Saccharomyces cerevisiae S288C: one gene and its partners. Each later gene encodes a partner of the first gene's protein in a complex. Each region holds a gene or a part of one and is shown on either strand. Other genes may lie near its edges. A codon is read from its position in the direction of its gene.

What was found.
Region 2: the proteins of NKP1 (region 1) and NKP2 are in contact, whole or in part, in a cryo-EM structure (PDB 6QLF), measured with the Saccharomyces cerevisiae proteins. Residues at the interface, in NP_010671.4 of Saccharomyces cerevisiae: Thr2 (codon at 1,671), Asp3 (codon at 1,674), Thr4 (codon at 1,677), Ser7 (codon at 1,686), Ile8 (codon at 1,689), Phe11 (codon at 1,698), Ile12 (codon at 1,701), Glu15 (codon at 1,710), Leu16 (codon at 1,713), Thr17 (codon at 1,716), Leu19 (codon at 1,722), Leu20 (codon at 1,725), Asp24 (codon at 1,737), Ala31 (codon at 1,758), Gly32 (codon at 1,761), Leu42 (codon at 1,791), Val46 (codon at 1,803), Lys49 (codon at 1,812), Arg50 (codon at 1,815), Ala53 (codon at 1,824), Met54 (codon at 1,827), Lys58 (codon at 1,839), Gln59 (codon at 1,842), Leu62 (codon at 1,851), Glu65 (codon at 1,860), Ile66 (codon at 1,863), Asn69 (codon at 1,872), Glu70 (codon at 1,875), Leu73 (codon at 1,884), Arg74 (codon at 1,887); in NP_013419.1 of Saccharomyces cerevisiae: Ser3 (codon at 2,444), Leu6 (codon at 2,435), Leu7 (codon at 2,432), Tyr10 (codon at 2,423), Val11 (codon at 2,420), Ser14 (codon at 2,411), Leu15 (codon at 2,408), Leu16 (codon at 2,405), Leu19 (codon at 2,396), Ile20 (codon at 2,393), Trp42 (codon at 2,327), Leu46 (codon at 2,315), Val53 (codon at 2,294), Leu57 (codon at 2,282), Arg60 (codon at 2,273), Ile61 (codon at 2,270), Phe64 (codon at 2,261), Phe65 (codon at 2,258), Leu68 (codon at 2,249), Arg69 (codon at 2,246), Arg71 (codon at 2,240), Leu72 (codon at 2,237), Leu73 (codon at 2,234), Leu76 (codon at 2,225), Gln80 (codon at 2,213), His83 (codon at 2,204), Leu85 (codon at 2,198), Ser86 (codon at 2,195), Leu87 (codon at 2,192), Thr89 (codon at 2,186).
Region 3: the proteins of NKP1 (region 1) and OKP1 are in contact, whole or in part, in a cryo-EM structure (PDB 6QLF), measured with the Saccharomyces cerevisiae proteins. Residues at the interface, in NP_010671.4 of Saccharomyces cerevisiae: Thr2 (codon at 1,671), Asp3 (codon at 1,674), Tyr5 (codon at 1,680), Asn6 (codon at 1,683), Ser9 (codon at 1,692), Asn10 (codon at 1,695), Glu13 (codon at 1,704), Arg56 (codon at 1,833), Gln59 (codon at 1,842), Lys64 (codon at 1,857), Tyr67 (codon at 1,866), Ser71 (codon at 1,878), Arg74 (codon at 1,887), Gln79 (codon at 1,902), Met82 (codon at 1,911), Tyr91 (codon at 1,938), Leu118 (codon at 2,019), Gln122 (codon at 2,031), Arg147 (codon at 2,106), Lys148 (codon at 2,109), Ile151 (codon at 2,118), Leu152 (codon at 2,121), Lys153 (codon at 2,124), Gln155 (codon at 2,130), Ala156 (codon at 2,133), Gln158 (codon at 2,139), Ile159 (codon at 2,142), Gly160 (codon at 2,145), Lys163 (codon at 2,154), Ile167 (codon at 2,166); in NP_011695.1 of Saccharomyces cerevisiae: Tyr238 (codon at 1,010), Arg241 (codon at 1,001), Gln242 (codon at 998), Gln245 (codon at 989), Tyr248 (codon at 980), Ser249 (codon at 977), Leu252 (codon at 968), Gln253 (codon at 965), Glu256 (codon at 956), Ser263 (codon at 935), Arg264 (codon at 932), Asn267 (codon at 923), Leu268 (codon at 920), Glu271 (codon at 911), Ile340 (codon at 704), Lys341 (codon at 701), Ser342 (codon at 698), Thr343 (codon at 695), Ala344 (codon at 692), Val346 (codon at 686), Arg347 (codon at 683), Leu348 (codon at 680), Asp349 (codon at 677), Glu352 (codon at 668), Val353 (codon at 665), Leu356 (codon at 656), Leu357 (codon at 653), Leu360 (codon at 644), Tyr363 (codon at 635), Ser367 (codon at 623).
Region 4: the proteins of NKP1 (region 1) and AME1 are in contact, whole or in part, in a cryo-EM structure (PDB 6QLE), measured with the Saccharomyces cerevisiae proteins. Residues at the interface, in NP_010671.4 of Saccharomyces cerevisiae: Tyr5 (codon at 1,680), Ser21 (codon at 1,728), Asn36 (codon at 1,773), Arg40 (codon at 1,785), Lys51 (codon at 1,818), Arg56 (codon at 1,833), Gly57 (codon at 1,836), Leu61 (codon at 1,848), Lys64 (codon at 1,857), Ile159 (codon at 2,142), Ser162 (codon at 2,151), Lys163 (codon at 2,154), Ser169 (codon at 2,172), Gln170 (codon at 2,175), Ser173 (codon at 2,184), Ile174 (codon at 2,187), Leu177 (codon at 2,196), Ser180 (codon at 2,205), Ile181 (codon at 2,208), Glu183 (codon at 2,214), Ala184 (codon at 2,217), Tyr193 (codon at 2,244), Phe194 (codon at 2,247), Tyr197 (codon at 2,256), Lys200 (codon at 2,265), Leu201 (codon at 2,268), Ala204 (codon at 2,277), Leu205 (codon at 2,280), Glu207 (codon at 2,286), Leu211 (codon at 2,298); in NP_009770.3 of Saccharomyces cerevisiae: Leu175 (codon at 3,783), Arg176 (codon at 3,786), Gln179 (codon at 3,795), Asp183 (codon at 3,807), Arg187 (codon at 3,819), Lys190 (codon at 3,828), Asp191 (codon at 3,831), Asp194 (codon at 3,840), Ile195 (codon at 3,843), Ser198 (codon at 3,852), Glu201 (codon at 3,861), Leu202 (codon at 3,864), Gln205 (codon at 3,873), Ser282 (codon at 4,104), Ile283 (codon at 4,107), Arg284 (codon at 4,110), Asp285 (codon at 4,113), Asn288 (codon at 4,122), Ile289 (codon at 4,125), Ile292 (codon at 4,134), Phe295 (codon at 4,143), Val296 (codon at 4,146), Leu298 (codon at 4,152), Met299 (codon at 4,155), Pro301 (codon at 4,161), Tyr302 (codon at 4,164), Leu305 (codon at 4,173), Leu306 (codon at 4,176), Lys308 (codon at 4,182), Ile309 (codon at 4,185).

What each region holds. Positions count from the first base shown.
Region 1 is NC_001136.10:1,235,597-1,242,343, reverse strand, and holds NKP1 (Nkp1p), read left to right. Parts: upstream 1-1,667; coding exon 1,668-2,384; downstream 2,385-6,747. Other genes in the region: putative ammonium permease ATO3, read left to right, coding at 313-1,140; ribosomal protein P2 RPP2B, read right to left, coding at 2,520-2,852; COI1 (Coi1p), read left to right, coding at 3,494-3,519, 3,714-4,032; RNA-binding protein YRA1, read right to left, coding at 4,340-4,735, 5,502-5,786; phenylpyruvate decarboxylase ARO10, read right to left, coding at 6,219-6,747. UniProt on the Saccharomyces cerevisiae protein: Component of the kinetochore, a multiprotein complex that assembles on centromeric DNA and attaches chromosomes to spindle microtubules, mediating chromosome segregation and sister chromatid segregation during meiosis and mitosis.
Region 2 is NC_001144.5:760,520-767,257, reverse strand, and holds NKP2 (Nkp2p), read right to left. Parts: upstream 2,451-6,738; coding exon 1,989-2,450; downstream 1-1,988. Other genes in the region: EST2 (telomerase reverse transcriptase), read right to left, coding at 1-716; TAD3 (Tad3p), read left to right, coding at 900-1,008, 1,077-1,128, 1,185-1,992; septin CDC3, read left to right, coding at 3,121-4,683; SPH1 (Sph1p), read left to right, coding at 4,916-6,508. UniProt on the Saccharomyces cerevisiae protein: Component of the kinetochore, a multiprotein complex that assembles on centromeric DNA and attaches chromosomes to spindle microtubules, mediating chromosome segregation and sister chromatid segregation during meiosis and mitosis.
Region 3 is NC_001139.9:853,175-860,527, forward strand, and holds OKP1 (Okp1p), read right to left. Parts: upstream 1,722-7,353; coding exon 501-1,721; downstream 1-500. Other genes in the region: PBP1 (Pbp1p), read right to left, coding at 1-41; ribonucleotide-diphosphate reductase subunit RNR4, read right to left, coding at 2,090-3,127; protein translocase subunit TIM13, read left to right, coding at 5,113-5,430; QCR9 (ubiquinol--cytochrome-c reductase subunit 9), read right to left, coding at 5,889-6,086, 6,300-6,302; E3 ubiquitin-protein ligase UBR1, read right to left, coding at 6,727-7,353. UniProt on the Saccharomyces cerevisiae protein: Component of the kinetochore, a multiprotein complex that assembles on centromeric DNA and attaches chromosomes to spindle microtubules, mediating chromosome segregation and sister chromatid segregation during meiosis and mitosis.
Region 4 is NC_001134.8:643,067-650,392, reverse strand, and holds AME1 (Ame1p), read left to right. Parts: upstream 1-3,260; coding exon 3,261-4,235; downstream 4,236-7,326. Other genes in the region: bifunctional precorrin-2 dehydrogenase/sirohydrochlorin ferrochelatase MET8, read right to left, coding at 1-25; NGR1 (Ngr1p), read right to left, coding at 489-2,507; ERV15 (Erv15p), read right to left, coding at 4,415-4,843.

The DNA of each region.
Region 1 (6,747 bases):
CACGGCAGAACCTGCACTACAATAGCGTTAGGAAGAAGCATCATTTTTTTCTACTGTTTTTTTTTTTCTTGGGGAACCGCTCAGGGCCTAATGGAAACACCAATGGATTTGAGAATTTTAACGCTATTCACGATGACCGTGACTCAGAAGGAATATTTAAATAAAACAACTTTTTAGCAAATTGAATACTCATCGATGAGCTTCGCTTGATTGCCTAATATTCCCCCAGTTTTATAAACAGTTGGGTCACATATAACTGAATACATTCCCAGAAAGATTTAGTAAGAATAAAAAATAAAAATACTGGTTAAAATGACATCGTCTGCTTCTTCTCCACAGGATTTGGAAAAGGGTGTGAACACTCTAGAAAATATTGAGACGCTCCCCCAGCAGGGTTCGATTGCAGGCGTTTCGCAGGGCTTCCCTAATATTCAAGAGATATACTCCGACAGAGACTTCATTACTCTAGGATCCTCCACCTACAGGCGCAGAGATTTGCTCAATGCACTAGACAGAGGGGATGGGGAGGAAGGAAACTGTGCAAAGTATACTCCGCACCAGTTCGCTAATCCGGTTCCTTTGGGTCTCGCATCGTTTTCTCTGTCATGTCTAGTTCTGTCGCTAATTAATGCGAACGTTCGCGGCGTCACTGATGGTAAATGGGCGCTAAGTTTGTTTATGTTTTTTGGTGGTGCCATTGAATTGTTTGCCGGGTTATTGTGTTTTGTCATTGGGGACACATACGCCATGACTGTGTTCAGTTCTTTCGGCGGGTTCTGGATCTGCTACGGTTATGGGCTAACAGATACTGATAATTTGGTCAGCGGCTATACCGATCCCACAATGTTGAACAATGTCATTGGGTTCTTCCTTGCGGGCTGGACCGTTTTCACCTTCTTGATGTTGATGTGTACATTGAAGAGCACGTGGGGTTTGTTCTTACTATTGACGTTTTTGGATCTTACCTTCCTACTACTGTGTATCGGCACCTTCATTGACAACAACAATCTCAAAATGGCCGGTGGCTATTTTGGAATTTTAAGTAGTTGCTGCGGTTGGTATTCGCTATACTGTTCTGTGGTGAGTCCTTCAAATTCTTATTTAGCCTTCAGGGCGCACACAATGCCAAATGCTCCTTAAAGGGTATGAAATGAAAAACAAAACTTATAAAACATTAAAATGATTTAATAATAATGATAACGTTACGTTTAGACATAGTCTTTTTTTTTTTTCTTGGCCAAGAGTTTTTATAAAAATTTATATATCATTTACCCACAATACTTAGCAAATTGTTCGAGACGAAATATTCTTTTTTTGAATTGTTACCGATGGATGGATTTGTTCGAAATAAGACCCAAGGCTTAGGCATCTTTTTTTTTTTTTTCTGTAATATTTGGACTAAATATAAATCAAATTTCAAGAAGGAAGGGAAAAATCATAAAATAGTGAAGAATTCAGGCAATCAAGATTTAATTCGCATGTAAAATATCTCTTTCTCGTGAACAAAACTTTCGTTTGTACCTTTTGAGTACAGATATATTGCTTTGTTCAAAGGTGATATAAAAACGATGACGCGTCACAGGGGAAAAGAGGTAAATCTACATGCGAAGAAATATTTTTGGTAAATGTGCACAGAAACTAAAGCAACAATAGATTGTAGGAATAAGATGACAGACACATATAATAGCATATCCAATTTTATAGAAAATGAATTGACCGCACTGCTGTCGAGTGATGACTACCTCATGGATGACCTAGCAGGCGAATTACCAAATGAAGTGTGCAGATTACTAAAGGCTCAAGTAATTGAAAAGAGAAAGGATGCCATGAGCAGGGGAAAACAAGACTTACTGAGCAAAGAGATATACGATAACGAGTCTGAATTGAGAGCCAGTCAATCGCAGCAGATAATGGAACTTGTTGGAGACATACCAAAGTACTCTCTTGGAAGTGAACTAAGAAATAGAGTTGAGGGTGAACCTCAGAGTACATCGATAGAGAGATTAATTGAAGATGTGTTGAAGCTGCCGCAGATGGAAGTAGCAGACGAAGAGGAAGTTGAAGTGGAAAATGATCTCAAAGTTCTAAGCGAGTATAGTAATTTAAGGAAAGATTTAATACTGAAATGTCAGGCTCTCCAAATAGGCGAAAGTAAATTATCAGATATTCTGAGCCAAACAAATTCTATAAATTCTTTAACAACTTCCATTAAAGAAGCTTCTGAAGATGATGATATCAGCGAGTACTTCGCCACTTACAATGGGAAACTAGTAGTTGCGTTGGAAGAAATGAAGCTATTATTGGAAGAGGCCGTGAAAACATTTGGCAATTCTCCGGAAAAGAGAGAAAAAATAAAAAAAATCCTAAGCGAGTTAAAGAAGTAATACTATTTTCAATTAATTGTCTATATAGAATCTTATACAGTAATTAATTATTTTTAAATCACAATGGAATCGAGGATTTACACCAGATTTTGTAAAATGAAGGAAAACAAGAAAATTGTTTATTAATTAAATTCCTTAATCGAATAAACCAAAACCCATGTCATCATCAGATTCTTCCTTAGCTTCTTCTTCCTTTTCTTCTTCAGCAGCATCACCACCGGCAGCAGCACCGGCAGCACCGGCAGCAGCAGAAGAAGCACCACCAGTTGGAACAGTAGCGAACTTCTTTTGACCTTCAGCGATGATTTCTTCCAAAGAGCCCTTACCTTCCAAAGAGGACAACAATTCGTTGATTCTGGCTTCATCGACTTCAGCACCGACAGATTCGACGACGGCCTTGATGTCAGCGGCGGATGGGGCAGCGTTACCACCTTGAACCAATAATAAGTAAGCAGCTAAGTATTTCATTTCTGTTGTTGATTAATAGATATTACTTTCTATATTTGAAATAATCAGTTTAAGCGGTAATAAATTCGCGGACTATTCCTTAACGATCTGTAACTGGAAGTTAAATCAAAGATACGTAAAGTAATAGTTTAGAGTAAGTCCAAATATCATCTCTTAAATGAAAAATTTCAGATACCGAGAAAATTTGGAAAAAGAAAATTATTACAATTTTTCTGCTTGGTAACTTTACACGATCCATACTGTAATTTTCGCATTACCTGCGTAATGACTAGAATGGGCACGTGATCATAAAATTAGAGACGACAAGAGCTCTCCAGTATTCTTAAACGGTAGCCCTTGGTTGTGATACAGCCACATGAACAGATTCCCACTGCAGCCTTTTTTGTTGGGTTCGAATAGACAAGATAAATAAGAGCAGTTACACTATATAATATATATATATATATATATATATATATATTACATTACTGACCTCAAAGCATCACAAATGTGTCGCTTCCTTCTTCGCCTTTTAGTTGAAGACATCCTTTTCAATCTTCCTCCTTACAAACCCGAGCGTCCTGCTTGCATATAAAAAAATCAAGGCAGATGAAGAGATAAATATAGTAATATTTCATTCTTTGAGCCGTACTAAGTATACAATGTCAAATCCATTTCAAAATATAGGGTATGTGTAAAAGAAATAGGGAAACATCTATTCGTAAAGCCTAAACTAACATTGGATATCTTTTTCTATTTCCCGGACTTCTTTTTTGGTTATTTCCTTATTGGCCTATCCCTTGAAGCAGAGTTTGATTGCACCATATATATAACCAAAGTGAAGACGAAAGTAGGAAAACACTACCAATGCGATTTCAACAGTAAGAATTTACTATACATTTCTGCAGCCGGGATTGCGTCTATTTATGTGGTCAAGACCATAGTGAAAGCTAGAAGAGATGCTAAATTTATACCAAAGGCGCGGGGAAACAATGGTGAAGTGAATGAAAAAAACTATTATGATAACCTTGCTCAAGTCAAACCAGGGTTCCCCATACCTAAAGATGGAGGAGACAACATTGATTGCTCTGAGGACCATCAATTAGTAAGAAAGAGTAAATATGAAGGTAGCGGGCTTAGTGCTGTAACAAGAAAAAGAGGTGACAAATTAGGTTTTTTAGATAGGAGGAGAAACGAGTAACACACGTTTAATCAACCTATCCATTTTTTCAATGCAGTATTATGTATATATATATTCATCGCACTGTAAATAGTGACATATTATGAGTCAAATATGCCGAATAAACTTTAAAAGTGAGAAAAGCCGTCACCGATGAGTAGGTTAGCGTCACCTAGTGGCGGTGGTAAATATTATTACATAAACATATCAAAGTTTTATTAATACATTTTTTAATCCTTTAAATTTTCTGGAAACTAATACATAATGAAACTCGGAAAAATTAAATTTAATAAAACCAAATTAAATCAAACAAAAAATTGACAATTAATTATTTCTTTTCGAAATAGTCCGCCATTTCCTTGTCCAGATCTTCAAGACTTTTCTTAGCAGGCTTTTCTCTCTTTGGTTTGTTTTGGGATTTTGCCATAGCAGCTTTTCTATTTGGACCCCTCTTTACTGGTCTTGGAGCGTTTCCGCCTTTTTGTGGCATAGCCTTGATCCTGTCGGCTAAACTTTTGACTGGGCGTTGGTTTGGATCAACGATTAGGTTAAGTCTCAATCTTGATCTGCCTCCATCGATTGGAGAGCCGTTAAATCTTTCAACAGCCCTTCTGGCCAATTCACCGTTTTTGAATGTGATGTTAGCCATACCAGTAGATTGGCCCCTTTCGTTATAACTCAACAAAACTCTTTGAACACCACCTACTTGAGATGCAAAAAATTCCTATAATAAAAAAAAAAAAGTTAGTCATATATCTCTATGATATAAAATCAAAGAAGGAAGGGACAATACACAAACAATCAAGGAGTTGAGAGTATTAAAAGTATACCATTGCGTAGGAAAAATAAACCCTCAAATAAACATGTACCACGATGGGTGAGTTCCTCTTTGGTTTCATTAGGTGTCTCAAATCAAATATTTTTGTAACTATCATAATAAAAAAATGAAGCGATGCACTCATATCTTTTCGAACGTTCATGAAAGACATGTTTCCCATAGCTATTTTTTGAAAATGGTGCCATTCGAAACTGAAAGCTACTCCCTCTTGAAAGGATACAAAATTAATTGATCCTTCCACAACTTCAGTATTGGATGATACGCTTATTAAAAATAGGAACTAACTATCACGGTCGAGGCGACACAATACGCCAGCTTAAAAATGTAAGATTGACAGATTAGCAGATAGTCAGATTGATTTGAGTTAACCCAGCCAATAAGAACAAACCCATTCTCAGTGGTAGCTGGTAATTCCAACCTTATAGGCCATGATTTGAAGTATTGAAAAAAATTGGTATGGTTGGCTTATGAAAACGATACTCTTTTTGTATTTTCTCTAGCGAAGTATTTCGGACTCTTTCTTCATCTCTAAAAAGAGAATTCTTGATCAAAAGCGTGTGCCATATCCTTCCTTACAAAGAATATTTCTCGTATCCACACGAGACGATGCGAGTAACTAAACAAATAGCTCTCATTTCACGTATTAACATACTCTTACAGCATCCTGCTTAATGTCCCTTGGCAAACCTTCGACGTTGACCTTGACCTCTCTAGTGGTGTCCAAGAGCTTGGCAACTCTAGCGACTGCGTTTGGAGGTGCCCTAGTATTTTTTCTGATAGGGCCTCTTCTGTTTGGAAGGCTCCTACGTTGGCTACCAACTTGCTTACCAACTCTTCTTGGACCGTTACCACGAGTACCACCGACACGGGCTCTATTACTTCCTGCTTTGTTAGAGCCAATGATTTCGTCTAAGGATTTATCTAAGTTAGCAGACATTTAGCAGATGTAGGTATTTTCTTAATATGGATTTCTTAAAGTTTCAAATAGAACGAGGGAGATTTTTTTATCTATTTGTCTTCGATAGTTTTCGGATAAAACTTCTTCTAACAAAAAAACCTACTACTAAACACACGATAGGAATGACAGAAAAAAGCGAACGGAAGAAGTGAAAAAGGATAAATTTGGCGGCCTTTTATAGTTCTTCAAGTGGTGAGCCGAAAGCCGTGGAAAAACAACACGTCTCCCCGCCCCTGCCTCGTCGCGAAAAAAAAAATACTAGCAACTGGACAAAGAACTCTGTGGTAGTGGTAAAATAGCTTTAATATACGTATTTACTTTGTAAATATAGTTACATAAGGGTTTTTTATGTGTTAATGAACAGAAAACGAACAATTGGTAGCAGTGTTTTATAATTGCGCCCACAAGTTTCTATTTTTTATTTCTTTTAAGTGCCGCTGCTTCAACCATGCACTTTAGCTGTTCGGGGAAATCCAATTCGCCTAATTTGACTTCTAAAAGTTCTATCCCGCTTCTTTTGTTTGAATTCTTAAGCTCCTCCAATTTCAGTGCTAATTTAGAGGGACATTGAATGAGAGTGCTATTAGTATACTTTCCGTCGAAGTCTCCGAATGCTTCAAATAGTTTGGTCCATTTCCAAGACATAACGTCGTTATACGACCTGGTAGGGCCCATGATGGCTCTTTCAATAGTGTAGCCGTTATTGTTCCAAATGATAACTTCTAGTGGAATATTGCACTTCAGAATGGTGCTCAGTTCTTGGATTGTCATCTGTGCTGCACCGTCACCTTCAAACAAAATTAATCTTGGCTTATAGTCCTCTTTTACGTTGCCACCATTGATGTGAGCGTTTGAGTGGTCTTGCATGGCAATTCCAACACCTAGGGCGGCAGGAAGGGCCATGCCAATGGAAAGGAAAAATCCTTGCGATATATATTTT
Region 2 (6,738 bases), on another chromosome or scaffold:
AAATTAATTCGTACCTTTAGTCTCTGAGGAATTTTAACCAAATTTGTGGGAAAAATAGCTTCTCTCAAGTCAGTTAGCTTTTTGATAGATGATGATGAAGGAAGGATCTTGCTATAAGGAAAAAAAGAAGAGGAATTTATATTGAGCTTGTGTAAGAATTGTTTATTTGTCACTGGTTCTGTAAGTTGTTTGATTTGCGCAGCAGTTGCGGATGATGAGGATGATCGTTGAGCCCATTTGGGCGGCAGATGAGGTTCGTTACATCTGTTACCCACGATTTGAGTGAAAAACTGCCCATTAAATTGAATTACTGTATAATTGATCAATAAATCAACGAATGCGTATGTACCGACCAAACTGTGGAACATTTTCCAAGCAGCGCCTTTCAGTAACGTAACGTTAACATTTGCAGAATGGCAAAAAAGACTATTGTTGACATCTTCATTTCTAGCTATTTTATAGCCAAATGTTAGTACGTTGTTGTATAATTCGCCCGTCAACAGGTAAATGATGCAGTGATCAATGACTGCTTTGTGGCTTAAGTCACCAGGAAGGCATGGTAATGCTATTTTTCTTGAATTTGGTAGTGCGAAACACGTAGTTAGAATTTCATCGAGGCCATTGAAGTGACCACATTTTAAATTTTCTTTGTAAGTACTGTTGGTCTGTAGATCAATGTCAAGCTTGTCTTGAATGAACTCGAATAAGATTTTCATGAGTATAAATCAGTTTTTTTTTTTTTTTTTTTTTTTTTAATTTTTCACTTTTCTATTTCACTTGTGTCATTCATTGCCATGCTTTACTTTTTTTCATTCCTAAATGCGAATCACCAATAGCTCATCTAAAGGTATATATTATTCAAACCTCAGAAGGATAATATTCATGAGGGCGTGTTAGTTATGGTTAAGAAAGTTAATAATCCGCTAAAAATCGATTATCAGAACGGGATAATAGAAAATCGGCTTCTGCAAATTAGAAATTTCAAAGATGTAAATACGCCCAAACTAAGTATGTATCTATGAGATCTAACAGAAATCAGGATCAATTAACTAACTTTCAAACATATATAAGTGCAGTCAATGTATGGAGTATAAGAATAGATCCAAGAGACTCGAAGAAAGTAATAGAGTATGTATATGATTTTTGCTTTTGTATTCATGGAAGTAAACTAACTAGTAAAGTAGGCTAATTCGAAACGATTTTCAGAAAAATGACCCTGTTTCATTGAGACATTTGAAAAGGATCCGCAAGGACATCGAGACCTCCACCTTGGAAGTGGTGTTGTGTTCGAAAGAGTATATTTGCGACGAAGGTGAAATAAACAATAAATTGAAGAGTATTTGGGTTGGAACGAAAAAGTATGAACTGAGTGATGATATCGAAGTGCCTGAGTTTGCGCCCAGCACAAAGGAACTGAACAATGCCTGGTCTGTGAAGTACTGGCCGTTGATTTGGAACGGCAACCCCAATGATCAAATATTGAACGACTATAAAATAGACATGCAGGAAGTACGAAATGAGCTATCGCGTGCGTCGACGTTGTCTGTGAAGATGGCAACGGCAGGAAAACAGTTTCCAATGGTGAGCGTCTTTGTTGACCCATCAAGAAAGAAGGACAAAGTGGTGGCAGAAGATGGCAGAAACTGCGAAAACTCGCTACCCATCGACCACAGTGTAATGGTGGGCATCCGTGCGGTAGGCGAAAGACTCAGGGAGGGTGTAGACGAAGACGCAAACTCTTATCTGTGTCTTGATTACGACGTCTATTTGACCCATGAGCCGTGCTCAATGTGCTCCATGGCCCTGATCCATTCTCGTGTGAGACGAGTGGTCTTCCTTACAGAGATGCAGCGCACCGGGAGCTTAAAATTAACGAGTGGTGACGGGTACTGCATGAACGATAACAAACAGCTAAACTCAACATACGAAGCCTTTCAATGGATCGGCGAGGAATATCCTGTGGGGCAGGTTGACCGGGATGTCTGCTGCTAGTTTTCCTCTAATAGATTAATATAAGATTGTATAATTTGTAATAGGCCAGGAATGGCATTGTCTCCTGCACTCGGTGAGCGAACCATATTTTCAAATTCTGCTAGTTCCGAGGTCTTTTCCTGAATAGCATCATCCAGAATCTGCAAACGCTGTTGCAACAGGTCATTAATCTTGTACAGCGCGTCGATCAGTGTCTCGAGGCTAAGGGAGTGTGATAGTTGCTCGCTTTCCAGAAATCGCAGTAATCTAGAGCGCAACGTTATGAAAAACTGCTTGATTCGTGCTTCTAACTCAGAGGTCACTCGCGCATCCCTGGCCTGAAGCAATTCGTACCAATGTTGCAGTTGTTGCTCGTCGCTCGTGTACGACTGTAGTTGCTGCTTGAACTCTTGAAAACTTATCAGAGTAGTGAGTAGCGAATCCGAAACATAGTTATGCAGCAGCTGTTCAGAGTTCATTTATAATGGTAATTTCAAAGCAAGATTGGGAGCACAATTGTCAAATCTATGATTATTTTGTTGCGTTATACCCAGCTTTTGGGCTTTTTCGAGAACGATCTTCGTTGTTTTTCGCTGTTTCTCCGCGAAGCGGGCAGCGGCGACGGTAATATTGGCTGTTAATCTATTGTTATCTTGTAGTTGTACAAGATCATTCCTTTAATTCTATATATTAACTGTTCGTGGCGTAACAAGAAATCGATTCTGACATCAAATGGAAGACATCAGCAGTTACACTAGTGGTGCAGGAAAGGCACCGCAAGGGAGTGCAAGAAGCTGTGAGAAACAACTTTATATAACTTGCTGCTTGATAATTGTGACAGAATATTCTCGCACCTTGCAAACATATATAGCAGCACCTCTAGATTTCTCCTTCCTTCCTTTCGTAAAAAGGAACCACCTGGGCGGCTAATTTAGTATTTTCGTCTTTTATGATCTACGTGTGTAATGATATGGTGGGGGCGTGTTTTCGCTTCCCATTTTTTGCCATTTTTTGTCTCGGTTTTAGGAATTGCGTTTTGTGTTGTTTTGTGTATTAAGTTAAAATCTCTCGAGGAAAGCAGATCAAGAAAATATCAAATCCAGGATCACACGACAACTGAACGATTACATCGGCCTATAATACGTTGCCATGAGTTTAAAGGAGGAACAAGTGTCCATTAAGCAGGACCCGGAACAAGAAGAGCGTCAGCATGATCAATTCAATGATGTTCAGATCAAACAAGAGTCGCAGGATCATGATGGAGTGGACTCGCAGTACACGAACGGTACGCAAAATGACGACAGCGAGAGATTTGAGGCAGCTGAATCCGATGTAAAGGTGGAACCCGGCCTCGGTATGGGCATCACCTCCTCTCAGAGCGAAAAGGGTCAAGTTCTGCCTGACCAACCGGAGATTAAGTTCATTCGTCGTCAAATCAATGGTTATGTAGGGTTTGCTAATTTGCCCAAGCAATGGCACAGAAGGTCCATAAAGAACGGATTCAGTTTCAATCTCCTATGTGTCGGCCCTGATGGTATTGGTAAGACAACTTTAATGAAAACTTTATTTAATAATGATGATATTGAGGCCAATTTAGTGAAAGATTACGAGGAGGAACTTGCAAATGATCAGGAAGAAGAGGAGGGTCAGGGCGAGGGTCACGAGAACCAATCACAAGAACAAAGGCACAAGGTCAAAATTAAGTCATATGAGTCGGTTATTGAAGAAAATGGTGTTAAACTGAATTTGAACGTGATCGATACTGAAGGATTTGGTGATTTTTTAAATAATGATCAAAAATCATGGGACCCGATCATTAAGGAGATTGACTCTCGTTTTGATCAATACTTGGATGCGGAGAACAAAATCAACAGACATTCAATAAACGATAAAAGAATCCATGCATGTCTTTATTTCATTGAACCTACAGGACATTACTTAAAGCCCCTGGACCTGAAGTTTATGCAATCTGTATATGAAAAATGTAACTTGATTCCTGTCATTGCTAAATCTGACATCTTAACTGATGAAGAGATCTTAAGTTTCAAGAAGACCATTATGAACCAGTTAATCCAATCTAATATCGAGCTGTTCAAGCCTCCAATTTATTCCAACGATGATGCAGAAAATAGCCATTTATCCGAAAGACTATTTAGTAGTTTACCTTATGCTGTTATTGGTTCCAACGATATTGTAGAGAACTACAGTGGTAATCAAGTGAGAGGCCGTTCCTATCCATGGGGGGTGATCGAAGTGGACAATGACAACCACTCTGATTTCAACCTTTTGAAAAATTTATTGATCAAGCAATTCATGGAGGAATTAAAGGAAAGGACAAGCAAGATACTATACGAAAACTACAGGTCTTCTAAATTGGCAAAACTTGGTATTAAGCAAGATAATTCAGTTTTCAAAGAGTTCGATCCAATATCTAAACAACAAGAAGAAAAAACTTTACATGAGGCAAAACTAGCCAAACTAGAAATTGAAATGAAAACAGTTTTCCAACAAAAAGTTTCCGAAAAGGAGAAAAAACTACAAAAATCAGAAACTGAATTGTTTGCTAGACATAAAGAAATGAAGGAAAAATTAACTAAACAATTAAAAGCTTTGGAGGACAAGAAAAAACAGCTAGAACTTTCAATAAATAGTGCTTCTCCCAATGTTAACCACTCCCCCGTCCCTACAAAGAAGAAGGGATTTTTACGTTAGCGAAATAAAGACATATAAAAATTTCAAACATACACTATTAAATATTATTACTATTAATATATAAAACGCGAGACGCGTAAAATAAAAAGAAGAAGGGTAAATAGAAAAAAATGGAAATGAAGAAAAACAGAGTTATTCAACTAAATATCTGTTATGATTTGAATCGCAGAATATAAAATTAAAACAGTAAAGTAAAAGAATATCATAATGTGGCCATAACGAAATAAAAAGAATGATTAGCTCAGAATTAACGAATGATCAAATCATAGACCTTATATCGGATTATAAGAATTTCAAAAGAATTATAGAGGCCTCTGTACCAGAAGATGATAGAAGAAGGAACCAAAACCGCCAAAATAGAAATAAAGACCTGACAAAATTGTCGAATGTACAATTTTGGCAACTGACGACTGATGTCAACGATGAATTGATGAAAAGATTGACAGATTCGGGTGCGGATGCATCACTAAATGATCTTGATCTGAAAAGAGGTAAAGCACAATCTAAACTGTCTCGATTGAAGGACGCGAAGTTCCATAAATTGATTCTTGATATTTTCACGGAAATTGAAAGGAGAAACTTACATCATTTGGATATGGGGACGCATAACAATGGGTTAGACGAGGGTGATCTAAATTTCTATTTAAATGACACATTATTTGAATCCTTCAAAATAAACGATGATTTTATGAGCGTGAATGGTATTATATCCATTGAAGTCTTCCGAGAATTAAAAACTCAATTTACACTTTATTTTCAAAACACGCTCCATCGAATTGATCCTGTGGATACCACCACCACACGCCTGCCGATTCTGCTTGAGACTATAATTAAGATAGCAAAGTTGATAGGCGATCTCTTACCTGTCCTATCATCAGTTTCACTGCAAAGTTCTTTAGAAAACGAAATAGTATACTTAAAGAGTGCTTTATCTCATGCTATCACTTCAACAAGATATTTTCTCACATATGGGGACCTAATACCACGAATTGTAGCTCAATCATCTATTTCGGAAGTGATTTTTGCGTTCTGCAATATTGCTCAGATTGTGAAGATCAAATCCACCTCACGTGATGATATATCACGCAATGAAGGAGAACTCAGTGATATCGAGGCAGGTATGAAACCGTTGAAGATTATTGAAAAAGTGAAAAATGAGAAAAACGGTAAGGATATATCATCTCTGGGTGATAGCGGTAGTACTGCTGTTAGTTTTCCATCCTCTGGTAAGCCCATTACAAAAAAATCGGACATGCCAGTGGTTGTAGCATCGCCATCAATTTCCATCATAGAAAAATCTGAATCTTCTATTCGAGAGAGTGGGAAGGTACGAAATAATACATCTGGAGAAACAAACTTAGCGTCTGTGTCGCCGTTAAAAAACACTAAGAATTCTTCAAGAATTACGAGTGAGCCATCTCCGCGAGAAGGTTTGCCTCTGAAAGTTGTCTCGAACTCGAGAAGTCCAAGTCCTCAAGGTAACACATTGCCGCTAATTGGTAAATTTCGGCAGGATTATCAGGCATCACCTCCGAAGAAAGTTATCACTAAACCAGTGGCAGAAACGGCGAAGCCGTATGCAAATATTCCGCCAGCTGCAGACGTACTTTACTCGCCAACCGTGACCAAAATGAGGAAATTCAGAGAGAAAGTGCAGAAATTTGCTCCCAACTCTGGTCTTGGATTAAGAATATCTACTTCAGAAGAAAACTTGAATAATTCTGATGTCAACTCAACCACGCACAACGCTAACATAAATAACCTCGTCGAATTTGTTGAGAGTAAATCAATGGTTGTTCTTCCTATGGCAGGCAGGGCATTTTGAATGATGTTCAAGCCTCTAAATCAAAATTGTTCAAGTCCGCAAGATCAGTTTCGAGATTATGTCAAAATTCCATCGAGATTATTCCTATTTTGGAATCGGTGATTGATATGACTACCAAAGCAATGGTCCAAAAAAGTTTTAAACTGGATTTAGGCGAGCACTGTAAAGAAATTATTGAAAGGCTCACAGATTGCTCGCAAAAGTTATCGGAATTGTGTACTTATGGATGC
Region 3 (7,353 bases), on another chromosome or scaffold:
GAGTTGGTGGAGCTATCTCTTTTCCTAAAGTTTCCCTTCATATTGTTTCAATGTAATGAACTCCTTTAATTACTTCCGTGACTGAGGATGTCAGTTTTTATATCAAATCAATTTTCAAAGATTTAATTATTGCTTCCCCTTCAAGATCAATTCGGAAATAATCGAAACGTCTTCTGGAAAGAACAAAAAGAAAGATAGAAGAAAACGCGAGTGAATGACCTATATCTTCCTTAAAGATCTATGCGATGAGAGATGCCGATTTAAGAACTGCTTTACAAAAACGCAAATCTCAAGTAAAGAAAGTGCCTCCCAATTGAGCTTTCCTTCCTTCTTTATTTTTTTTTTTTTCCAGTTTTTCATAATTTGTTGTGGCTCTCCAAGGTTTTCTGAGGCTCGTTGGCGGAGAAGTTACGTAACCCGGATGCTAATAGTGCATGATTATATATCAAATATTTAGTTATATGCATCGTAATCGTAAACTCTGAAACAATGGATTATCGCTAGTGTATATCTTCTTCGGTCTTATCTTGGTGCGACTCATGGTGCGGTACAAAAACCTCTTTGATTTCTTCTTCATGTGAATCCGAAATCATTTGACCCATTGTTTCCTTAAGTTCCTTTGATTTCTTCGTATATTCTTTCAAAGAAGGTAACAACGACAGTACTTCCTCCTTATCAAGCCTCACATCGGCTGTACTTTTTATGGGGTCGTTCAACATCAGGTTCAATTCGTGGCTATCATTTCTAAAAGTTACTGGGCCATCAGGATGCATAAATCCATTAGTAGATTCTAAGCCATATGTATATTCCATTGCTTTGTTAAGTACTGGATGCAGATCTTTTTGTATTAGCTTCTCAGTGAGTCGTTTCTTGTTGTTTGTTTTTAAATTCATGCACAACTTCCTAGTTTCCTCCAAAAGGTTTTGTTCACGTGAAAGAATTGCTTCCAATCTCTCATTATTTTGTAGTTCTTGTGAATACCGGTTTTGAATAAATTGTCGCTTAGAATAAATATACTCGATGTCTAGATCTCTTTCCGATATCCTAGAGGGAAATTTGGCCTGTCTTAGCTTCTTCTTTATCTTTGTGAGGATTATTTCAAGCAAACGTTCCTTCTTAGAATATATTCTTTTAACCTCATTATTATCGCCATGCGTCATTTGGTTCATTTCCTTTTCGTACTTCTCAAAGACAGAATCAAGAGCGCTTACAGTGTTAGTCTCTAATAAACGAAGTATGGATCCTATCATTATTTTAGAAGGCTTTTTCCAATGCTTTAATTCATAATTGCGCGGCAACCTTTCTCTATACTCAGCTTGTATTACCTTCCTGAATTCCCAAGGTCGTACATTGCCCTCTCCACTTGTTGCGCTTCCATCCGATAGATGAGATTGCAATTTACCTGTACTTTCCTTGCCAACCTCAAATCGAAGTTGTTTAGATCCTTTATGATGGTATTGTCCTTCTTCTTTGTTCGTGCGCTCTTCTATTTCTCCTTCTTCAGCATCATCAGAGTTCTCATAAAAAAGCGACTTCTTTGATTGGGTGCTTTTAGCTTCTGGTGCTACGTCCAGACGTAAAGTTTTAATATCATTCACATTCATGAGAATGCTGCTATCGCTTTCAGAGGAACTTCGGTTGGGTGACAGATCCATGGCCTGGCCATTGTTAATTGAATCATTTTCAATATTTTGTAAAAAATTATCTCTATCAGCTGCCATACAGTATACGTAGCACTAGTATCGCTTGAATTATTCGTCCATAGGGTGCAAGTTACCTCATCCATTGTTGCTATGTACCTCTATCTGTATTAACTTCGAGGTAGTAAACAAATGGGTGGACCGTATTGTGACTCTCCGGGTAACAAAAATATGTTATTTAAATGAAATGACCGGGATGATGGTACTCTCTGAATCTTTCCCTTATCTACCTACAAGAAAATGGCAAATATTGTCATAATAAATATAAAAAAAAACTGTAGTTTCTTTTTAAATTTTTCTACTTAAGTTTAGTTATACTGTACCTAGGTATATATAAATATATATAAATAAAAGTGGCCAAGAATAAAAGAACGCACCCCGTCGTTGACTTAGAAGTCATCATCAAAGTTAATTTCCTTGGATGGGGTAGCGGACTTAGACATGTCACTGGCCTTTTGGTAGTCGGAAACCTTCTTTTCAAAGAAGGTGGTCTTACCAGCGGTAGCGACATCCTCCATGAATTCGAATGGGTTGACGGCGTTGTAGTATTTTTCGTTACCGAAACCTTGTAATAGACCGTCAGCGACAAATTCTATGTAGGTGTGAATGCTCTTCAAATCCATACCAAATTTTTCTACTGGCAAAGAGTTTGAGTAGTATTCCTTTTCAATTTCCACGGCTTCGGTAATGATTTTTTCAATGATCTTGGGGTTTGGCTTGGTTCTCAAATGGGCAAATAGCAAGCATGAAAAGTCAGTGTAGGCACCTCTGTCTCTACAGATGTTTCTGTTGGCCATTGCTAAACCTGGCATAATCTTTTTGTCAGTCAACCAGAACATAGAAGCATAGTTACCAGCTTGGAAAATACCTTCCTTTGCAGCAAATGCTACTAGTCTTTCAGCATACAAGCTGTCATCGTTGGAAATCCATCTCTCGATGAAAGCAGCCTTATGCTTGACTTCAGGCAAATTGGCAATTTCCTTGAATAGAGGGATGTTCTTAGGGTCCTTGAAGAAGGCATCAACCATCATGGAGTAAACTTCAGAGTAGATGTTTTCCATCATAATCTGGAACCCGTAGAAACTCTTACCTTCAGGGTTTTGCAATTGGGCAGAAAAGTTTTCGATCAAGTACTTGTTGACAAGGTTGTCAGAAGAAATGGACAAGGCTAACAAGTTACCGATGTAGGTCTTCTGGTCATCAGTCAATTTTTGGAAATCTTCAGTGTCCTTAGCCAATTCGATTTCTTCCGCAGTCCAGAAAGAGGCTTCAACCTTCTTGTAAGCAGCCCAGATTTCGTGGTATTTGATAGGGAACATCACGAATCTACGGCTGTTTTCCATCAAAAGGATTTCATCCTTTTCAGCTTCTTTCATATCATGACGTTCTTTTTGGAAAGTCTTCAAAAATTGGTTATGTGCTTCCATTGTAATAACTAATTGTGTGCGTTGCGCGGGGTTGTGTGGCTCAAAAAGATCTGTTTTTGTATTAGCAATTTTTTATTTCCCTTTTTAAATGAATTTTTTTTCTTTCTGTTTCGAGACAAGGCCTTTTGCAAAAAAAAAAAAAGTAAAAAAGTGAAATTTGATAGTGTAAGGGGACAGAGGTGGGGTCAGAAACCAATGTATCTATTGATAGTCTTTTTTTGATCGAAAAGCCAAGAGACAAAAAATGAAGAAAATGAGAGATAAGGAATGAAACTTTAGGAACATTGAAGATTCAATCGCCGTTTTTATACGCCAGAGCTTCATGAGACCAAGGAAGGAACGGACGTCGTCTACCGATTACAGTAAGCAAAGAGGATGGTGTTGCCACAACAACGCCCATCGGGAAGGCAAGAGACGCTGTGGTGAACAATAACTGCCAAAACGTGGTTCTCGCACGCTGAAAAGCGCGTTCTCGTGCGCCGCTTTCAGTGTGCTAGAACTTGCACTGTCCGGTTTCCGGTGCTTGGTGTTGGGTGGTCGTACCTGCTAGTTCCATTGGTGCGGTGTATGGGCGGGTACCCTCAAAAAGGGAAACGAAGGTAGGCGCACGGTGCTTATTAAGCTCAGAGGCGACCTCGCAGAAGGGGGCAGACCACACAAGCGGTGGAGGCGCTCCAGATATTCAGTGGAGTGGGGCTTGCTCATGTTCTGTTGTTGGTTTTGGATAGAAAAAGAGCGGGTTGAATAGTTTGCCATGGCAACCACTCTGGAAGCGAAATCACATAGACGCGTAAACACTCACACACAGGATATTCGTATAGCAAGGTACTAGTGGCGACACTCAGGTGGTCCTCGTTGCCTTATCTCCAGATTCCTCAATTTCTGTGAAACGTAAACATTATGGGAATAGTCTAGACGCGTACTTCATTTTCTTTGTTTCGTGAAAAGTACACTTTCCCGTCTTCGCCGGTTCCCTTTCTTGCCTGAAATGCTCGTTCTAATGGAAAAAAAAAGAAATAAAGGTGGGCCTGCCCATTAGCAGGAAATTGGTACTTAATTATTGAAAAAAAAATTATTGGTTGCTAAGAGATTCGAACTCTTGCATCTTACGATACCTGAGTATTCCCACAGTTAACTGCGGTCAAGATATTTCTTGAATCAGGCGCCTTAGACCGCTCGGCCAAACAACCACTTATTTGTTGAAAGCGAGCGCGGTACAAGTAATGTTACCTCATCTGATATACAATAAAGGTGGAGCGCCAATATATACGCATTTGACTGTTCATAATTCATTGAATATAATTTATTCCTTGTTAGTACAAAAGGGTTAAACAGAAAAAGACGTGACGTTGTAACCGAGAGGATGGTAACACCGCGGTATCACCCACTCGCCCAGCCGTTAAATCCAATCATCCGAATAAAATGTTTGTCCTTGCTAGTTTGTCCTGGTGATAAAAGCCATGACCACTTTTCTTGGAGCCTGCATCTGTTATCTCTCCCGTCGATAATGGACTTTGCACCGGTGTATTACCCGCAAGAATTCTGATAACGTTCAAGCTAAAACAAAACTGCTAAATGAGTTCTGAAATGGCATTTATGAGTACATATGATAGATTTGCTATGTATCAAACCTGGAACTGGCGCTAGCGCTATGGTTTCACTTCCTCATTAAACCATACCCTTGACGATTTGACAGGTCGCTACAGATTCAGAAAGAGATCATATCAATACAACAAATAAAATATAAGCGAATAAAGAGCAATGTCTTTCCCCTTTAGTCACATTACTAGCCAACGCTAATTCTTGATCTCCTTCCTCTTGTTTCCGGTGTATCTTAGTTTTCCTGGCGTTGCCGAAGAGTAAAAAAATCCTAGGTCCTAAGATTTATAAAATCGACAAAAAGAGGATTCAAGTAGGATATCTGTCAGTTCAAACCAATCAATCTTTTCTCTCCAACAACAGTTTGAGCTTATTTAATCAAGAAAATGGGTCTATCATCTATCTTTGGCGGCGGTGCACCATCACAACAAAAGGAAGCAGCCACTACTGCAAAGACAACCCCAAACCCTATAGCCAAGGAGCTGAAAAACCAAATTGCTCAAGAACTGGCTGTGGCTAATGCGACTGAATTAGTGAACAAAATTTCTGAGAACTGCTTTGAAAAATGCTTAACTTCGCCATACGCTACCAGAAACGATGCGTGCATTGACCAGTGTTTGGCTAAATATATGAGAAGTTGGAATGTCATATCAAAGGCTTACATCTCCAGAATCCAGAACGCCTCCGCTTCTGGCGAAATCTAAACACACCATCAGGATCAATTTACTGCGCAGTATGTACTCGTACTTGTATATAAGATTCAAAGGATACCAAGAAAATGCTATTACGTTTAATAACGTCGAAGAACAGTATTGCACTATACTTGCTTGGTATAGATATGTACAAAATATATGTATATACATAAAATGAGTTATTCTTTTTCCTAATTCTCTTTTTCCTTTAGTAGAATATAAAATTATAATAAGGATTTTGTGAACATCTGACAGACAGGCTCGTTCGTGTCTATTTCCATTCTGAAATTTGAATGCGCTTTGGCGAGACATAGATTTGTGTCAAAATATGAAGTTGAGTGCCTTTATGAGGTTGGGTTGAACATGAACAACCAGCCAAAATAAAAAAATAATAAATAAGACGAGTGCCACTTATATAGCTTGAGAGAGAGAGAGAGCGTTTGCACGTATATGTGTGACATAATCAGCGTTTACTCATCATCGTCGTCTCCATCGCCTGCAGCTATTCGAGCCTTGACATCTTTCCATAATTTTCCTTTGTTGTGATTCTCGTACCATGAAGTAATAGCAGTATCAAATACAGTTTGGAAAACAAAGGCACCTGCAAAGATAGTACCAACAAAAACAGCGTTTCGTTTGAAAAAGGTTTTATATAGTGATGAAAAAGACTACTCATAATTTATGCATTGTTAGTAACCTGAATGGAAACGCATGGAACATATTCATAGAGCTGCTGTCACCAATTTCATAAGCTTCGCTAAGTCGTTGCGCTCATCGGTGGGAAACTAATTTCCAAAGCCCATGATACTTGGCTAAGGAAGATTCCACGGATAACATTTTTAGCCTGAAATGTGAAGCAGCACACACACACACCAACATACCATTTTAGTCCGTATTGCTATTGTTGCTTTACGAAATTGCGAAGGATATGAAAATCAACCTTCAACGATTATTGACTATCCGTGACAGGACATTAAATACAACTGCTAAGCTAAAGTTTGAGAGGGGATGTCATTAGGGAAAGGCCCAAGGATTGAGCAGCTTTTAGGTCCTAGAATTCTTTCGGCATTGACTTCCCCGCGTTTGATTGGGTCGTGTATAATGATACATATTAACAACTGGGGAGTTCAAAAGTTGCCTTCGCTAGATAAGGAAACTTATGATAGTCACTTCGAAGTATTTGTAATTAGGTTGGTATTACTTCTTTGTTAATAATAAATAAAAGTCAATCGACGCGCAAATGTTTAATAATGTATAAGTTTTTATATACAAATATGTCAACTATAAAACATAGTAGAGGGCTTGAATCTACCAAATCTCTCGCTCATCAGAGTCATCATTATCATCAGAGTCATCCTCATCGAGGTTTCTTGGATTTGTATTTCTTATGATAGTAGCTCCATCAAATTGAGGTCCTAAGAACTGCAATATTGGTGGGGGATTCTGAGGTGCATCATCATCGCCATTTCCCTGCGGTTGTAGAGTGTTCCTAAAGTTTTCGAAGAATTGGAAAAAATCACGTACTCCGCCACCAGCAATACCTTCTGCGCCAACCCCAAATAAGTTGGCGGCCTGTCCAGTTTCATCATCAACATCCATTTCGTCATTTCCCTCCGTAAAAAACCCGTCTTCTCCCTCTTCCATATCTTCATCATCTTCATCTGTTGGAGGTATTCTTCTTGGCCTTGGTTCTCTATTAAATGCAAACAAGAAACCATTGGAAAGTATAGTCACTCGAAATTCGTCACCCATTACTCTACTAATATAACCTGGAATTTCATTGTTAATCCATAATCTGTTTAAGTGCTCATATCTTTTCAAATTCAAGGTGGTTAAATCACCTCTTCTCATGGCATTTCTACCAACTTCACCATGCGAATTTAGATATGGTGCAGATATAAAAATATTAGAAGGAGGCTGTGTCAAATGGAGACA
Region 4 (7,326 bases), on another chromosome or scaffold:
GGGCTAGCTGTAGCGATTTGACCATTTTTTATCCTATTATACACTCTCTTATTTTGCACACTTCATGAACAATGTATGGCAAAAATGTCTGGCACAGCCTTTTATTGAAGTAAATGTATATATATATATATGTGTGTGTGTGTGTCCATCATTTACATGCTACTGCCCGTAGTCATCGGACTTTGTAGCGATTTTCACATTTTTTTTCCGTCAGCATGGCTATTATAACACGTGAAATTATGACGCCAGCTTTTCGCATATATAGTTAATATAAAACACTTTGAAACGGAACTGTTTGAGTAAATAAATGTACTTAGATAGATAAAAATAGATAGGTAGTATAGAGGAAAAACAAATTTGATTAGAATTATGGATCGACAATTGACTAGGTTGTAACTGAAATGGCATTAATAGAAGAAACGTAAGAACGTAGAGACGCAGATAAAACTGCGGACAAGATTAAAATTTTCTTTTTTTGTCTTTTGTAATCAATGTAGAAGAGAAGGATGAATTGGCGGAACATTGTTCCTATTAGGATGCTTGTTCATGATGCTCGATTTCGAATTATTGGAATTCGGGGCTATATTTAAGGGAGGAGTCATCATCCTGGACACGTCATACATATTTGCACCGTTTCCCATTCCGTATGGTACTGGATTTACGTTCATGTTCATGTTCATGTTAGAATTCATGATCATGTTTGTGTTAGGGTTTGTGTTCATGCTTGAGGCCGTTTTATTGCTGTTGCCATTGGGCAGTTGCATAGAAATTGACATCGCGTTCCCAAATTGAGGTAAGTTATTAGTAGCATTGGAGAATTGGTTGCCCGTCGGATGGAGCGAGTATGAGGGACTTGAATATTGGTGTGGGTACAGTGCACCGTCTTCTTGCATATACGGGACATTAGATCTCTGCAGATTAACGAGGTCGCTATGGCTGCCATTCTTGTTCCTGTGATAATCGTAATTATTGTAGTTGTAATAGTTGTTGTGCGCCATTTGCTCCATAGAAAAGTTACCATCCTGTTGCTGCTGCTGCTGCTGCTGCTGCTGCTGATGTAAAAAGAGTCGCCTTTTATCTTCCGCATATTGTTCAAGAATTTGTTTGGAGTTATCGACTGAAGAAGCCGCAGATGGCGCTCTCAGGCCATTTGAGGACATATATTGGCTTGCCCCCATGATGGTCGAATTTGTTTTAGCATTTGAACTGGATGGGCGTCCCCATGATAATCTTATTGGACTGCCGCCCACAATAAAGCCTTGCAGGCCTTGTATTGAAGCTTCAGCATCAATCCTCTTCTCGAATTTAACAAACCCACAGTTTTTACCATTGGGAATCCTGACATTTAGAATGGGTCCAAAGGGTTTGAATAGTGAACGTAATTGAAATTCGGTAGTTTTTGGTACCAGTCCTCCCACAAAAACAGTAGTATTAGTGGGGTCTGTATTATAGGTGTTTGAAGGTAGTGAATCATTTACACGCATGTTTGAAATGCCGCCCTCATTCAAATGCATTGGAGGCGCGTTATGCAAGGCATTGAGAGGAAGCATGTTGCTATTGTTTTGAATGAGATTATTTGCAGTCTTAATCAAGAGAGGGCCATTATTATCCTCCTGATCTAGCTGCTGATGCTGTTGCTGCAATTGTTGTTGCTGTTGTTGTTGTTCCTGTAACTGCAGCATCATATTATTTCTTGGCGTGGCATAAGCGACTCTTAAGGCCCTTCCTTGAAACCATTTCCCACTCATCTCAATCAGTGCCCTGCGGCGCTCATCTTCATCACCGAATCTGACAAATCCAAAACAACGAGATGATCCTGTTAAAGGGTCAGTCATCACGCGGACGGTTTTAACAGATTTGAACCTCGTTTGGAAAAGAGATAACAAATCAGCTTCAGTGGCGGTGGGAGAAAGATCACCAACAAACAAGGAAAATTCTGGGGTAGATGGTATAGAACTTTGTAAAGTAGCTCCAGACGCCCAATTCAATCTGAAAGTCCTTTTGAACGTTGGATTAGTTTGGGAGTTAGTTGTTGGGGAATAAAAATTAGGTAAAGGTGTAGCATTTAATGACAGGGCAAATTTAGCGTCCTTTTGAGTTTCAAATTCGACAAAACAGTATCCGGCATGATGTAATTGAGTAGTGGAAGGATCAATGAAGGATATTCCATTAATATTAATCATTTGGGAATTATCTAACTGATCAGTGCTGTTTGATGCAGATTGCTGGTTTTCAGCATTCTCCTCACTTGTGTTGTTATTACTACTTGAGGTGGAGCTACAAGGAATCAACAAATTTTTTTTGGCTCTAATTAGTTTAACGATAACTTTTTTATCCAGTTTTGACCATATCTCCTCAATCGTGGCCTCGTCGAAGGACGGATCCAAATCTCCCATCCATAACGTTCTTGGGGGTTCAGTAGAAGTTTCCACTGTGGATGAAGGAGGCAATGGAATAATATATGGATTTTCCTGTCTTTGGGAGGCGTTAGCAACGTTAGACATCATTTGTGTAAATTTTTCAGGCAAAAATCGATGGCGAAGGATATGAAAAAGCTGTAATATTTAAAAGATCCAATAATAGTAAAAACAATATAAATCAGAACGAAAGGGAAAGAAAAAAGCCTCCTTTATTAATATTGGAACAGGAAGAGAATATCAAAAAATGAACCGGGAAAAAAATGGAATTACAATATATGACAATATAACAGATTCGATCACGAGAAATCAGAATATTTGGAACTAGGATATAACACGCAGATGGTTTTCCGTACAACTATGAAGAGTCAGAGAAAAAAAAAAATAGTGAATAAGAATGGTAATCTCTTTTATTGCTTCTTTGTCGACTGCGTCTATGTATATTGGTTCTAAAGGGAACAGGGTATGATAACCAGATTTAATTACAAATATGCTTATTTTCACTTTTAATGGAGTGTATGAAGGTGCGAAACTGCTTGCTTGACTAAGATTTGGTCTTGAATACAAGTTTGGGGAACGCTTTTTGGAACGGCACTATCGCCCCTTCACAGCCGTTTGAAGCTGGTAGAAAATATTTTATCGTGTTGTACGGAGAAATTTAATGGTGTATCCAAATATTGTTAAAGGACTAGTAGAAATGATAATGATTGATTTCATTAGCTATTATGGCAAGGGTCAACATCGTTGCAGTATAAGAAGCGATTGCTCTCATTTTTTTACGTGTCCTGTGTTGCTCTGTATTGTCTTGACTATTTGCGTGTTCATTTAAAGAAAAACCTCAGTATGGATAGAGACACTAAATTAGCTTTTAGGCTGAGGGGCAGTCATTCAAGAAGGACAGACGATATAGATGATGATGTTATTGTATTTAAGACGCCAAATGCTGTTTATAGAGAGGAGAACTCACCTATTCAATCTCCTGTTCAACCCATTTTGTCTTCACCAAAACTTGCGAATTCTTTCGAGTTTCCTATTACCACTAATAACGTAAATGCGCAGGACCGTCATGAACATGGGTATCAGCCCTTGGATGCAGAAGACTATCCCATGATCGACTCTGAAAATAAAAGTCTTATAAGCGAATCGCCGCAAAATGTTAGAAATGATGAAGACCTTACTACTCGTTACAATTTCGATGATATACCCATTAGACAGCTATCATCGTCTATCACTTCTGTGACCACAATTGATGTTTTATCTTCTTTATTCATAAACTTATTTGAAAATGATTTGATTCCGCAAGCTTTGAAGGATTTCAATAAAAGTGATGATGATCAATTTAGGAAACTATTGTACAAATTAGATCTGCGACTCTTTCAAACGATATCAGACCAAATGACCAGAGACTTGAAAGACATATTAGATATCAACGTGTCGAATAATGAGCTCTGCTACCAACTGAAGCAGGTACTTGCTCGAAAAGAAGATTTGAACCAGCAGATAATATCGGTACGAAATGAAATTCAAGAGTTGAAAGCCGGTAAAGACTGGCATGACTTACAAAATGAACAAGCCAAACTGAACGACAAAGTGAAGCTAAATAAGAGGCTAAATGATTTGACTTCTACTTTGCTAGGCAAATACGAGGGAGATCGCAAAATTATGAGCCAAGATAGCGAGGACGATTCAATACGGGATGACTCAAATATTCTGGATATTGCACATTTCGTAGACTTGATGGATCCATATAACGGACTTCTGAAAAAGATAAATAAAATTAATGAAAATCTTTCTAACGAATTACAACCAAGTCTATAGGGAATTGGTTCAAAAGATGTATATATATATATATATATATATATATGTATGTATATATGTATATATGTATATATGTATTACTTCCATACTAAGGAAGTTGTGTTATAAGGTCATTTTTATGTGGTAGACATACTTCATAGATATGCACAAATCTCTCTTTTTTTTTCCTGTTGTCGCTATTAGCTTATCAAATTTGCATCATTTTCAAGTAACGCTGTGACCATTCTGTAGAAGTAGAAAAAGAATATGAGAAGGTAAAATCCCAATTTTAAAAAGCATTCAATTTTGCATCTACCCAATTTTCTGAAAATATCCGTGGCGTCCAGTAGATGTGTTTTCTTGTAGACTTTACTTGCGTTATATGCTAGAACAGGGACATTCAAGAGAAATACGAACCAGTACCCGTTAAAAAGAAACAATGCAGAAATGAAAGCTTGTAGAATTGCCTCTGGTACACTCAACCTATTCACCCTCTTACACAGTTCGATTGAGTTGATATAGTCTGCTTCAAGATCACCATATAATATAGTAAAGTATATCTGGCAAATGGAATTCAAACAATTCAGTATAAGACCCGTCACGAATAGCGATAATCCGGTTCCTGACATCTTTACTCTTGGCTTCGAACTTCTTGGTGCCTGCAGTTAGTTTTATCTTTAGTAAAAAATGATAATGAAAGTGCTTATATGAATAAAGGTATTAATGTCTTCGTATTTAGCAATGTAATTGAAAAATCATTCGTGGCCCACGACAATATTTCCAAATTATCACAGCTTTCGATAGAAGTGAACGATTTTGAATTAGAGAGAGTAGTAGTGAGCTAGACGTACTGTGTTTTGAGAATTGAAGTTTGTATAGCAAAACTATACTATCATAATGCAACATTCAAGAAAAATAATGGTATAGAAACAAAAAATAACTCCGATACGGGGAGTCGAACCCCGGTCTCCACGGTGAAAGCGTGATGTGATAGCCGTTACACTATATCGGATAATAACTTATGTTTGATTTAACCTTAAAGATTTTCTATGTCAAGTTTAAACTGGAGGGCTTTCTATTGCCGAACAATCCTAGCTAAAGGCTTTTTTCCCTATTTACAGAAGAAAATGTAATGACTGAAGATTTTGAAAGGTCTCGTTTGATGGCTAGCAGGCTACACCTAGAATTACCCAATTCCAAAGGTTGGTCATCATAGGAAAACAACCAGCATGAACCTTACCCTAGTTCTCTTGCTACTATTTCACATCATCAGGTGATGTCAACTCAGCTTATTGTCAGTGACGACGGATTAGCATTGATACCTGATGTCATTTTAACACGTGTGTTGGATGGGATCCTATACACACCCAAAGAAGATGATTTTTACAACGACACCACCACCATGTATTATGTTTTTGCCACCTGGGGTGATCAAAGTTGGTCATCCTTCGGTTATGATAATACAGCAAGCCTGCAAGAGCACGAAAGATATGTTTTCTAACTTCTTGCCGAGCAGGGAATATTGGGGATTTGGACCGTTGGAATAAATGGGTCCTCAATATTGACAGGAGTCGGTTTTGGAATGAGAATTAACTATCATTTAGTGATGGTAATCCTATTACTAGAATATTATCAGATACAATGTTAGAGGACAATAGGAATACATAAAATAGAAGAAATAATGATGGCATTACATCGAAATATCGATTACACTATATCTTGGAGGAGAACTTTTTATTTTATTTTGTATATCTGATGCTATAGCCTCTAACAATAAGTTAATCCCAACAACTATCTCAATATTCATATAATCGTCTGAGAGATTGATAACAGCTAGTAATGTAGCTAACAGTCAAAAGATAATAAATGATTCATCTTCCAACAGCTTGCGGGGAAAGTTTTTCACACTAATGTGCGGTGTTGTTTTCCTTAACAGGCTCTGAGCAAAATATGGAGAGAGAGGTCTCATTTACTTTGCCATTCTTCATTTAAGCTTGAGGCTTGTTCTACTGAAATGTTAAGTTCTCAGAAGCCAACTTTGGATCAAAGGGCTTTGTTAGTAGCAAAACGCTATTTCTATTGATTTTGATTATTTTTCGAAACATTAAGAGCACAATGTATATTAATTTTCCCTGATGAATAGTTAAGATGATTAGATGGGCTAGGCGCTTAAAAATGAGAAACAGGTGAAATTTGAGATAAATGTTGATTTCGTTGTTGCTAAAGGCTATAATATCAGGTATACAAAATATACTGGAAATATACCTCGAGAATCTTGGAATCCACGAAAGGGAATAGATATTACTCCATAATAATATTATGTTGGAACGAGAGTAATTAATAGTGACATGAGTTGCTATGGTAACAATTCAATGCTTACATCGTATATTAATGTACAACTCGTATACGTTTAAGTGTGATTGCGCCTATTGCAGAAGGAATGTTAAACGAGAAGCTCAGACAATACTGAAGCTGTGTTAAAGACCTATTAGTTGAACATGTTATGGTAGGTACATATATGAGGAATATGAGTCGTCACATCAATGTATAGTAACTACCGGAATCACTATTATATTGGTCATGATTAATATGACCAATCGGCGTGTGTTTTATATACCTCTCTTATTTAGTATAAGAAGATCAGTAATTATTTCTTCATTAATACTAATTTTTAACCTCTAATTATCAACATATTATTTCTCCTTTCGTTTTATCTGATGTCATTCATTGATTGCCAGCAACTATCCCAAACCTCATGTGATTCTCGGATTCCTTACCACGAAAAAACAGATGTGTAAGTGTATTTGAACACACAATAATAAAAATGATTATCATTCCCAGATGGAGGAGCCCATTCCAAACATAGCAAAATTCAGCACATCCTCTTCGTTAGCATTTCCGTATGGAAGCAACCCTCAGTCCAACAAATACCGTTTAAACAAATGAGCGACATTTATTCGCTTTTTCTAAAATAAAGGTCCCCGCTGAAACTTCTTTGCATACAGTTCAAATATTCCACCGTTCTCTTATATGTGGGGCTGGCACTACTTCGTATAATTGACTATACTATCTATATTAGTCTTCCCACATGTAATAGAAAGCTCGTATGGCG